Linked DNA regions of Arabidopsis thaliana. The protein of the gene in region 2 interacts with the protein of the main gene of each other region in a pairwise test. Each region holds a gene or a part of one and is shown on either strand. Other genes may lie near its edges.

What was found.
Region 1: the proteins of LBD14 (region 2) and AHG1 interact in binary tests that used the Arabidopsis thaliana proteins (3 or more experiments, as listed by UniProt).
Region 3: the proteins of LBD14 (region 2) and MYB54 interact in binary tests that used the Arabidopsis thaliana proteins (3 or more experiments, as listed by UniProt).

Annotation. Positions count from the first base shown.
Region 1 is NC_003076.8:21,025,018-21,029,752, reverse strand, and holds AHG1 (Protein phosphatase 2C family protein), read right to left. Parts: upstream 2,879-4,735; 5' UTR 2,838-2,878; coding exon 2,373-2,837; intron 2,307-2,372; coding exon 1,962-2,306; intron 1,896-1,961; coding exon 1,790-1,895; intron 1,176-1,789; coding exon 841-1,175; 3' UTR 565-840; downstream 1-564. UniProt on the Arabidopsis thaliana protein: Negative regulator of abscisic acid (ABA) responses during seed germination.
Region 2 is NC_003071.7:13,351,353-13,354,185, forward strand, and holds LBD14 (LOB domain-containing protein 14), read left to right. Parts: upstream 1-1,564; 5' UTR 1,565-1,632; coding exon 1,633-1,911; intron 1,912-2,013; coding exon 2,014-2,301; 3' UTR 2,302-2,320; downstream 2,321-2,833. Other genes in the region: PARP1 (poly(ADP-ribose) polymerase 2), read right to left, coding at 2,694-2,741.
Region 3 is NC_003070.9:27,599,839-27,603,881, reverse strand, and holds MYB54 (myb domain protein 54), read right to left. Parts: upstream 2,290-4,043; 5' UTR 2,031-2,289; coding exon 1,910-2,030; intron 1,799-1,909; coding exon 1,367-1,798; coding exon of another isoform or gene 1,308-1,366; exon of another isoform or gene 1,023-1,307; coding exon 844-1,022; 3' UTR 565-843; downstream 1-564. UniProt on the Arabidopsis thaliana protein: Transcription factor that regulates secondary cell wall (SCW) biosynthesis, especially in interfascicular and xylary fibers.

The DNA.
Region 1 (4,735 bases), on a different chromosome or scaffold from region 2:
CACGCTTTTTGTTTTACTTCAAAGACAATTCTTGATTCTTGATCTCCCTTTTATTTAGGACCAAAACTCTGTATTCGTCAAACCTGTTCGAATTGTTCCATTTCCATCGAACTATAAGAGTTGTCTTTTTGTCTCTCTTTCTTGAATTGTTCTCTTTGATTCTTTTGCACATCTCTTTTTTTTTTCCTTTAAAGCCTAAAGAGTAAAGACAATCTGGTAATTGGCCCAAAAGCCTATATAGCATTGTTGAACCAAATATAAAACTGCACGGTTGAGTAGGGTTAGGGCTGGTTCAAAATCTCAGCCTTAAATTCACTTCATTCAGGTTGTACCAAAATGTAAGTATTTGTAGACAGAGATGACTTTAACCATTGGAAATGATCAGTCCATCAAAAAAATATAAAAGACCAAGACCGGCGTCTAATGAACTACAACGAACAAAACCAAAGCAGTACTACGTTTTTATTTTATCTATTTATTTCACACATACCACCTAAATAGCTAAACGATCAATAACTTCAAAATGATCACACACATACAACAAACAAAATTAGAGAACAAATTCTCTCAAGTTAACTTTTATTTTATTGTTTAAACCACTAAATACCCTTAATAGCCCATGGCCAAACCACTAAATAACCTTGTAGCCCATATCCAAACAACTCTCTTTTCCTTTCACATTCGCCGGTGTTAATGTGTATTGGTAACCCCAATTCATAACAAAACAAAGACGGGCGCTAAACCCTAAAACTAATTAAGGCTCATCGCTATATCAACATCTTATTCTTTGGTTTAACCACTTAATTGCACAACCACCAAAAAAAGGATCCAAAACTAGTTTTACTGAGAGCTATTCTTGAGATCAATGACGACCACACTTATATTATCACTGCTTTGTCTACCCAAAGCCAACCGCGTTAGCAACGTTGCAGCCAATACACTCCTTGAAGGATTTTGTTCTCCGTCATTGTCGTCTTCTTGAGCCATTCTATTTAAATCAAGGCTCGAGGGAGTTTCTTCGCGGAGACAAAACCTAGCTATGTCACAAGCTAGCTGACTCGAGAGTACATCCCAAAGCCCATCGCTTGCTAATACTAAGCATTCATCTCCAGATTCCCTTCTCATGAATGTTACTTCTGGTTCCCATGCTACCATTGGTTTTAGATACCTGTCCCCTGCTCCATGAATTGTAACACAACATTAGGAACAATTTCCATACTAAAACTTCATGTTTAGTCTAATAAATTGTATAACCGAAATAAATTTTAAGTTGGTTAAATGATCAAACAATGAAAGATACAAAGATAAGACACATTTAAATACTTTTGAAGTTAAGAAAAATACTTCTCCCGTTCTAATCCATGAGATGGTTTGTATGAATGCCCACATTTTTTATTTTCGTAAAATGATTCAATTATTTTTGTTTTCTAGTTAATGCTGCAAATATAATTTTTTTTGTTTTTTTTTTTTTTTGTCAAATGTTAAACTATTAGGACCAATGTAAAATTTCTAGTTAACATTTTGACAAAAAAAAGAGAGTAAAATTTACATATTTTTTTTTTAAAGGAACAATTATAAAACATCTTTGAAAATAGAATTAGAATTAATCAACAAAAGAACTCGCACCAAATGAAACCAATCCATAGTACCTTAGTTAGTAAACTTAAAACCCTAAACCCCAAATCCGAAATGATTATTATTGCCCTTATAGGCTCTAGTTCCTTGCCATCTTCAACACTATCAACTAAAATCATCTTTTACTACAATATGAGAATTGAGAAAGGTATACCTATGGCTCTGGACGTGGCTAGAATTCCTTCAACTCTAGCTCCATCCACTACTAAAACTCGACCACCAGCTGCTTCAATCCTCGCACGCTCGTCTGGTCTATCCGGCTGCAAAAAACTCAACAACTTCAAAATAGAAACTCCAATATTCTCAAACCTTTACAAGAACACCACCTTGTGATCGTTACTCAGAGGAATAGCCATTCCATTTCGACACAACACCGCACGTGAGTCACCAGTATTGGCTACAATAATATGATCGTGCGTCAAAACCGCAGTGACCGCCGTTGAACCCGAAATCGCAGCCTCCCTCGGATCACAGTTACACAACGGCACACTAGTCCCACACACGCATGTACTCGTTGCCATCTCATCCATCCTCTTGAAACTCCGTTTCATCACGCCCCGCCATTTCCTCTCCACGACATCGTTTTCGCTTCCTTCTTCCTCCTCTTCGAGGTTTTGCTCTAGCTCCTCCTTGACAAACGTGTGCATAGTCGTGCTGCACAATGTTGACACCTGTCCACGCATCACATCAGCATCTTTATATTAAATGACCAAACCACCCCTGGTTAATTTTCTTACCTGAGAACCGCCGTGGCCATCGTATACCGCAAAGAAATGAACCGGTCTTTGCCGGTTAACTTCCGGTTTGCACAAATTCGGTTTAACAGTAACCGAATCCTCCATCTTACGAGATCTTCCCATAACCGAAACTATACCGTACAACGGCTCATCCTCCGTTTCTTCTCCCTTCCACACCGGCGCTTCCGATTTTTGGCAAGAAGATGCCGCCGGAGGTGCCAAAAAGCCCCCGATATCCGCCGGAAGACCACCGATCTCTGACCTCCGAGCTTGTTTCCTCAATGGAACGTCAAAACTTGAGTAAACTTCCATGTCCGTCCGATCACGATTCCTAGACGAACTAGGTTCGCCGAAAACCGCCGCTTGTCTCCGCATCTCAATTCTCCGACGACGACGTTCACGGCATTTAGTCGGAGAAACGTCGTCTCCACGTCCGGTTGAAATTGTTCTGTAGATTTCAGTCATCTTTTCAAAATTCGTTTCGGTGGATCAAGAGAGCACCGCTTTATATACATGGGGCCGAGAGAAAGAGAGAACACTTTGAACATAAAGAAGCTTACGAGGAAGACAGAACACGTGTCGGTGTTTCGATGTATTCGCGTGTTAGGCTCAGGTGTTAAGTTGTTGTCCACGTGGAGACGCCTTCGGTTTTTGTTAAACCGCATCCGGTTTTGGGTTCATGACGATAGTCGTTTAGCTAGGCTCTTGTGTCTTAACTCCTTTCTTCTTCTCCTTGCTTGAATTTGAACCCATGAGCCGGAGCTGATCTCTCAAACCATGTGAACTACAAGGATCAGGCTGGTTCTGGACTAATTCATCAAATATTATAGAAAATGAAAAACTCATGATATACGAAATATTGCATCTTGTTTCCTTTTGCTTTCAATATGAAAACATTAATGTCAAAACAATGACTATAAATGTAACAATATTGAAAAGGTTTATATCAATTTTCTTATTTTTAAAAAGAATTAAATTTTGAAAACCATCTTTTTGAAAAGTGAAAACAAACAATTTCTACTATATTAAATCTGGAATAACATTTACTGATCGTTCCAAATCTCGAGTAGTATTTTCTATAAAACCTGAACGGTAAGTATACTTAAACCAAATCATGGGATTAACCATAACGTTGGAGATATCTTCGGAGAAAAAGGTTGACGAATCGTCAATCGTCACTAGTCACTCTTTTTCGGTGCAACACATGTCACATAGTGATCATCTACAACTTCTCGATTCCTCAGGTTGAGCGACTTGTACCAATTAAACACGTAGCATAGTTATGCCAGTTTAGTCCATCAGTGCCATATGCCTTTTATTCTTTATTTGGTTTCCTACAAATGAAGAAAAACGGCGATATATGTATATTTTATGCTAACAGATTTGATTTGTAATTAATGTCTACTCAAATAAGCAACTGTACAAGATACAAAGAATCATATCATTATTTATTCAAATACTCAAGATCTACGAAAACCGTAATAAATGTTTACAAACTGTCTTTGAAATATATTAAAGTGGGTGAACTGAAATATGTGGATCGATCAATCCTAATATTTTGCTATATTGATGAGAATTAATACGAGTCGAATAGATCATAACAGTTAGGGTGGTTCTCTCTACATGAATGATATGGTTTAGCTAAAAACTAAAACAAACAAAATATTAAGCTAATATAAATGTGTAAGTTATCTAAAAGGAAGATAATAATGAAAAAGCTTGTCTAAAATTCTTAAAAAATGATTCAAACACACTTTACCTTAAATTTGTGATTAGTTGGGACTGGGATATAGTTTTAATCATTGGTGGGTTGGGTGGTTAGTTTTAGGTTTTAATGATTGAAAACTTAACTTGCCGATATAGTGATTTTGTTTTTTTTTTTATGTGAAGAAAATAAAAACTAGTGAGCTTAATTTCAATCCCTGGCTGTTTTAGTAGGTTATTATATATAAACCATATATGATAGAAATGTTATCTTCGTACATCAATGTTTGTTTAAATTGTTTATTCAGTTTTTTATGATCTTCTTGCGGAAATTTGGTTTAATAATTTTGCGTGTGGTTAGAATTACTATATGAAGGGAAGTTGCTTACCAAAAATCCTATGATCAATTCAGAAAAAGTTGGAAAATAATGAGAAAGAATAGTGTTTGTAGTGAAAATACTTTGTGTGGGGTCCAAATCTCCTGCAAAAAGAAACTAATGTGTAGAAGCATGCATGGAAACACCAATAAATTTTTCTGAAGACTCTATGGCACTAAAGTCAGTTAATTTGATCACCAAATATGACTGAAAACTATAAAGAATCGGAGAACAACAAAGAAAATAGGTTTCATTTCATGGCATGGAGTCAAGGGAAATATT
Region 2 (2,833 bases):
CAAGTAATTTGCAGATTCATTGCAATGTTAACTCCTTCATACTCTGTTGAAAATGATGTGAATCATTGAAGATTGCTAATTAGTTAAAGAATTACAAGGATGTTATATTTTCTTTCTACATTTGAATATGCTTTTGCTTTTGCTTTTGCGACTGCATACTATTTCTCAAAATGCAATGTTCGGGTTTCATCAATTAAAAGATGAGCACTATATTATTTTCCCAGTAGAATAGGATTTGCAAAGGGTAAGTATAATGTTTGGGTTTCATTGGCCGATGTTGGGATCAATGCAGCTTCTGGATCAGATGGGTTGTGATTAGGATCGATAAAAAAATATGACCGATATGGCAGAACGATGTAGCTACTGGTCGGATGGTTTGGTTGGCTAGATCGGTGGCTCTATGACCATGATGGTTGATCGATGCGGGTTATTTAGTTGGCTCCAGGGATATTGGATCTGCATTTGACTGATGGGCACGGCCAATGTGGCTTATGAGGGTTGTTTGAGGAGTCCTAGATCAGTCATTGGTGAGACCGATCCCATGGCCGTACTGGTTCTGTTATTTCTTTGTTCCCCGGTCCTTCTTTGACCAAAACTCCGTCTTTTCCGCAAACTCTAGGCACAAGTTAGGATATCTAAAGACACCCGAAATCCTTAACATAGATAAGAAAACAAAAATAAAGCTTCAAACTCAAATTTTTCTTACTATTTTTAATCTCCACTAAACCAACATTAAGTCATAAATCCACTATCAGTTGTTCATTATTATCGAATAATTTAACTTTTGTACTTGATCAATTATTTTGGAATATTTTTGATGTTAATCATGATTCATGATTAATATGTGGGCTGGATAATCATGGGTCTCTCTATTTTTCTAGTCTGTAAAGTTTGATCGAAACTGAGAGCATTTTAAAATATTTAAATCGAGATATAGAAATAACTTGTCTCATATACTACTAATATCAAATGCCTTTGTTCTTATTCTACACACATCTCAATCACTTATGTGGTGTATATGTTGAGCATTGTTAAATCTTAAACTATTGTTTTCCAAATTAAGCAATAATGACAACAATCTTAACATAATTTCACAAGTACATGTAAATTTTCAACTAAACAAACACTAAAAGTAAACTCTAATTTATTTTTCTAAATAAAATAAGAGAGTAAATTAGTTATGAATTAAAAAAAAGCTAAAACCACAACAAAAAGCAACTTGGGTTTGGTTCATGTTTACTCATTGTTTTGTCCTATACGTCAACCAAATCTCTCATTTGATCGGATCTTAATATTAATATGGTTCTCTCAATATTTTCTTAAGAATATTCTCCACCTTAAGAGTTTAATCTCAATAATATATTACAACGAGTTATTGAATATTAGAGAGATGTTTTACAATATAAACTTGAGGGAAAATATAAAAGCTGCAATCTTGTAATTGTAAGCCATTAGAGAGACAAATATGTAAAATAACAAGTTGAGTTATCATAAATCCCACCTTAGTCCTTTACCATAAACACTCGTGCACTATATAATCGTCACTAGAAGAGTATAAGTAATGAAGTATTAATATTCCTACAAGATAGTAATAGTTGGTTAATATCAATAGATTATAATTACGTTTTGAGAATGGGAGGTTTAGGCTCACCATGTGGAGGATGCAAGTTCTTGCGTAGGAAATGTGTAGAGGGTTGTGTATTTGCACCATACTTTTGCTACGAAGAAGGATCTTCTAATTTTGCAGCCATTCACAAAGTGTTTGGAGCTAGCAACTTCTCTAAGCTCATTTCTCATCTCCCTGATCATGACCGATGTGACGCCGTACGAACCATCTCTTACGAGGCTCACTCTCGTCTCCATGATCCTATTTACGGCTGCGTCTCCCAAATCTTCTCCCTCCAACAACAGGTATTATACTTTTTCTTCGGAAATGTATACATAATTTTTTTTTGCTTTTGCTTCATCATCTCTAGTGTACTTACAAGTAACTTCACTGACTTTGTTCTTAAGGTTGTTAGTTTACAAGCACAAGTGGTTCTACTTAGAGAAGAAGCTTCGAGAAGGTTCCCTCAAGATGATCCTGGTTGTAATATGAAGCAACAAGAAAAGGTTCTTGCTCAACAAATGCCACAAGATCTTCACAATTGGTTTCACCAAGGAATCTTGGACTCAGACTTCGACCCAATGAGTGGTACTACACGCGACAATGAGCGGTCCATGGATCATAATGAGTCTCCTTGTAGCTCAAATGAATCACTTAATTACTACCAGGAGGTCAATTTTCCTTGGTCTGTTTGAGTACAAGTGACTACTTTGTCAGAGATGGAACCTTACAATCTTTCTATTGTATCGACTTTTCGACATTTTTCATAGTAGAGATCGAATCATGCAACCATTTTCTCTTTGAGAATAACCACTTCTTCGATGATCTTTCATAGGTACAACATCAGATCTGAACAAGTGTCAAGTCTTAAGAAGTGTCATTACTGAGAAAAAGCATAACAAAATGTAGTGTACGCTGTTTTAAAACCAGAAACATCTACAACGCCAGAGAGTTAAATCTGTGACTACATGTTGGATTCGATTTATCAAAAGACATTTAGTTACAAAAGTTAAGTCTTCGTGTTGGATTCGATTTCCCAAAAAAACATTTAGTTAACAGAAGTGACGTCTTCTTGTTTGGTTCAGGCTCATCTCTTGTGCTTAAACCTTACTTTCAACAAGAACTGCAACTTCACCTGTTCAGAGACAAAGCAATCTTTGTCAGACATGTACACACCATAAAAGAATCAAACACAGAATATGTTGCAAAACTAATAGCTAAAGCCGT
Region 3 (4,043 bases), on a different chromosome or scaffold from region 2:
AACAGAAATTAAAAGGTATGCACGGGTTCGAACTATGAGGGAGCAAGTGAAGGAAAAGAGGGAACTACAGCAAGGTATGCACGAGGAAGAAGAAGAAGAAGAAGAAGAAGAAGAAGAAGAAGAAGAAGAAGAAGAGTGAAGGAAAAGAGAGAAAAAGGCCATTGGGCCCAGAGGTGAACAAGGCCCAATTAAGGGTGGGTCTTGGTTATTAACAAATTTCTAATTAGATTAAGTACAAGAACTACATAATGGTTGTGTTGTTGTAAGAAAACGATTAAGGAAAGTAAGAAGTAAAAAGAGTTTTCCAACACCTTTTGCTTCTTCATCAAACATTGGATTTTTTTCATGTTATAATCTCAACGATATAAGATTTCAACTGTACATATATACTTTCAAATTTTGATAATATTGTGGCCTCTCGAGGTCGAGTTCATGATCGGGTTATGCATAAACAATTGAACGGTGATTTGTTTGAACGTTGAATAAATATGATACAAATTTAATAAGAAACAAACTAGCAATTAATCGTTATATATATATAATTAAATTGTTGGTAACAGAATTAAACATTTAAACATGTTATTCATCTCATTCAAGACAAATTAAACAAATACATTCAAACGGATAACTTTGATAGTTAACAACTCGATGGAAATTTTACAGACATTGAGAATGTGTGATACATCAACATTATGTATTTTTCTTACAATTTTCGCAGGTAATAGCTCACTAGTTAGTGATTATACACATCAAGCATACATGCTAACGACCTAGATAATCTCGTACGTATACGGACTAAATAGTTAATCTAGAAATTTAGGAGTTACTGCAAAAAAACTAATCCTAGGAGGCAGAGTTTCCAACGGATAAAAAGTCGAAGAATGGAACATGACTTTCATGTTTGGTGTCCGAGTCACTGCGTTTGCTTTGACCTGAATCTTGATCTATAATCTCGCTCTTGTTTGAATCTGTGTTTACTTGTAGAAAATTGTAGAACTCCATAGGCTTTTTACTCTGATTTGCTGCGATCCAAACGATAAAAGAAGGACGAAATTATAAGCTATGTGGATTGCAACTATGTTAAATATATAGAGATGACTTCATGTAATGACGGAAACAATATATGATGATGAGTACAAGAAAAAACATGCAACTAATTTTGTCACATAATTTTGAAGTTCATTAGAAAAATGATTATGCAAATGAAAAAGTCGGCTAAACTCTTTGAAAAGTAAAAAAATTCGGCTAAACTTCATTTCAAAATTTTGGAACATATATACCTTTTTCATCAATAATCCGTGCAAGACTCATATACATGCAAACACATCTATAGAAAATGGATCCTTCTCCATCATTTTGAGTTTACCTTTGTGATTTAAAGCGATCTTTCCGGTGAAAAACTCCTTTAGGAAGTGAAGATGATTGATATGAGAGAATTTGTAAGGGAAATTTATAAAGTCTGCTGGAAATATTTTCTTCCGATCATCGGAACTATAATTATGATTATAACCACCAGAACTCATCATGATTTGTTCACTCGCCATTAAAGAAGAAGACGAAGTCGTCGAGGGAAGAAGACGAGGCTTAGAGGTTTGGCGTGTGCGACGAGCCATGATGACGTGCCAATGGTTCTTGACGGCGTTATCAGTTCTTCCAGGGAAAAGCCTTGCGATGATGGACCATCTGTTCCCATGGATCCGATGAGCCGCTAAAAGTCTTTCTTCTTCTTCTTCCGTGAAAGGGTTTCGGTTGATCCTTGGATCCAATTGATTAAACCATCTCAATCTACAACTCTTACCTGCATATATACACCAATACAATTAATTCATATGTATATATATATCAAAGTATCAAAATTAACCCTAGCTAGTTTTGTATATATGGACAAACCCTAGAAGATATCAATTACCAGAGCGACCAGGAAGCTTGAGAGCAATGGCGTTCCAATTGTGAGGACCGTATTGTTCGACAAGATCCTTGAGCTTCTCGTCTTCAGCTGGTCTCCAATGGCCTCGGCTGCACATGATCATTTTTCTTCTTCACGCCGATCTATTTAATTACGTAATTAACTAAGTATACCGATCCAAACCAATACAAGAACAAAGAAAAAGAAAAACACACAGATTCTATATCAATAACGCACGCAAAAAATTTGTTGTGTTCATGTATTTTATGTACATATATAAGAAATTAAAACCCTAAGTTTTTTTTTTCTTGGGAAAAGGTTGGGGAAGATGGGTATGTGGGAACAAGAAGAAAGCTGAAGAGCACCTGCACGTATATATATACATAGTCTATATTATTGCGAGTATATATATAATATACATTTTATGTCTTCTTCTTTTTTTTCGTCTAATATACATTTTATGTCTTTACCAAAAGAAAATATATATATATATATATATATATACATTTTATATGATGAAAATTAAAATAAAATAAAACAAAATCCGTTAGAGAGTCGGGAGGGTTTGGACGGACCTCTCTACCGGCGACTGATGCCAACGTCTTCCCTAACCAACAAAACACCCCCTTCTACGTAATCTACCTTTTTCTTTCCTTTATTTTACAACTAGGATTTTATTTAGTTATAATAATTATAGAATATATAATATCGTAGAAAATAAGAGCATAGACTAGAGATTGCTTGGTGTGGGCAGGATTTCGTTAGCCTCTCAACGTCTCTTCGTATAGTATTAATTTAAGGTTTGTTGTTTCTAAGTTCTAACCTACACCCGCTACTTCAAGCCACCAATACTCATCTACGTTTCTGTAATCTTGGCAAGCTACGTATTCACATATAATAAATATCGATATCCTACACTGACAAAAATTTATTTCATGTATCAAATATCGTCCATAATAATTAAAGATAAATATTTTCAGACCTAATCAACGTTTTTTCTAAGCCTTAATTAGGAATATATCGTCCAAAGTGGAGACAATACAACTAACTTTTTCTTTGCAATTTTACAATGGGTATTTTCTTATAAACTGTAAATAAAATAGAAGGTGTATACAATTGAATCAAGTGATGAAATATATTAGCAAAAATTTTATTCTCATGTGGTCAATCATTTTAGTCGTAAACAAATAAAAAAGGTGGTCAAATATTTGGTCTCCAAGCACGTCTCTCTTGTCCAAAACGGAACTTTATAGGTTTCGGACATTCAGGACTAAAAACAGAATCAGTTACATTGAATGTTCCGTGGGACTAATTAGAACATTTCTTCAAAAAAAAAAAATCTGTAAGCAAAAACCAAAATAATTGCTGGTAAAGTTTAGTAGGAAAATAAAATAAAACAGAGAGTTAGTTGGGAAAGAAAGCCAATAATCAACTTCATTTGTTCTATCGGTAGTTAGGAGAGAAGCCTTCTTCAGTTTCGACTTTCGAACCTATCATAACTAAACTTAACCTATTTTCGTCGCAAAATGACCTATTTCAACTAAACCGGATCCTGATTACACTAAACCGGTCAAATATTATATACCAGTGGGCTTTTTATTTTACAACTGTATGGGTACTTCATCACCAAAGGCTGACAGACCAACTGTGTCATGTCTTTAGACTTCTTCAGCAAGAGTTCCTGAGACTTGAACCTGTTACCAGAACTGAACGATGAACCGACACTGTTCTAGCATCATAATGTTTCAAGAATCTCACATCAAACTCGAGAATCAGAGAGCAAGAGCAGAAGATAAACCATAATAGTCATGAACCATAAGGAAAACAAGCCTCTCACATTGCTAAGGATCATACAAAGTTCGGCTCTATCTCTATGTATGCAATGGTCAATACAATGACTTTAAACGAACACGTTAAACATATTGTGAGCTGTGAGAGCCTTTTCAAAGAAACCAACATAACCATTAGACAATAGACCTGGATAGGTATCTTTGCTTTCGAAACCATGCTTATTGGTCCAGAATTAGAGAGACTGTGATGGATGAAATTTCACCAGGGATCATAGTCACGAAGAGCTCCTCTCTAGGCAACAGAATCATCGCACCACTGAAAATGGTTCTTTGTTTTAGTATGATGA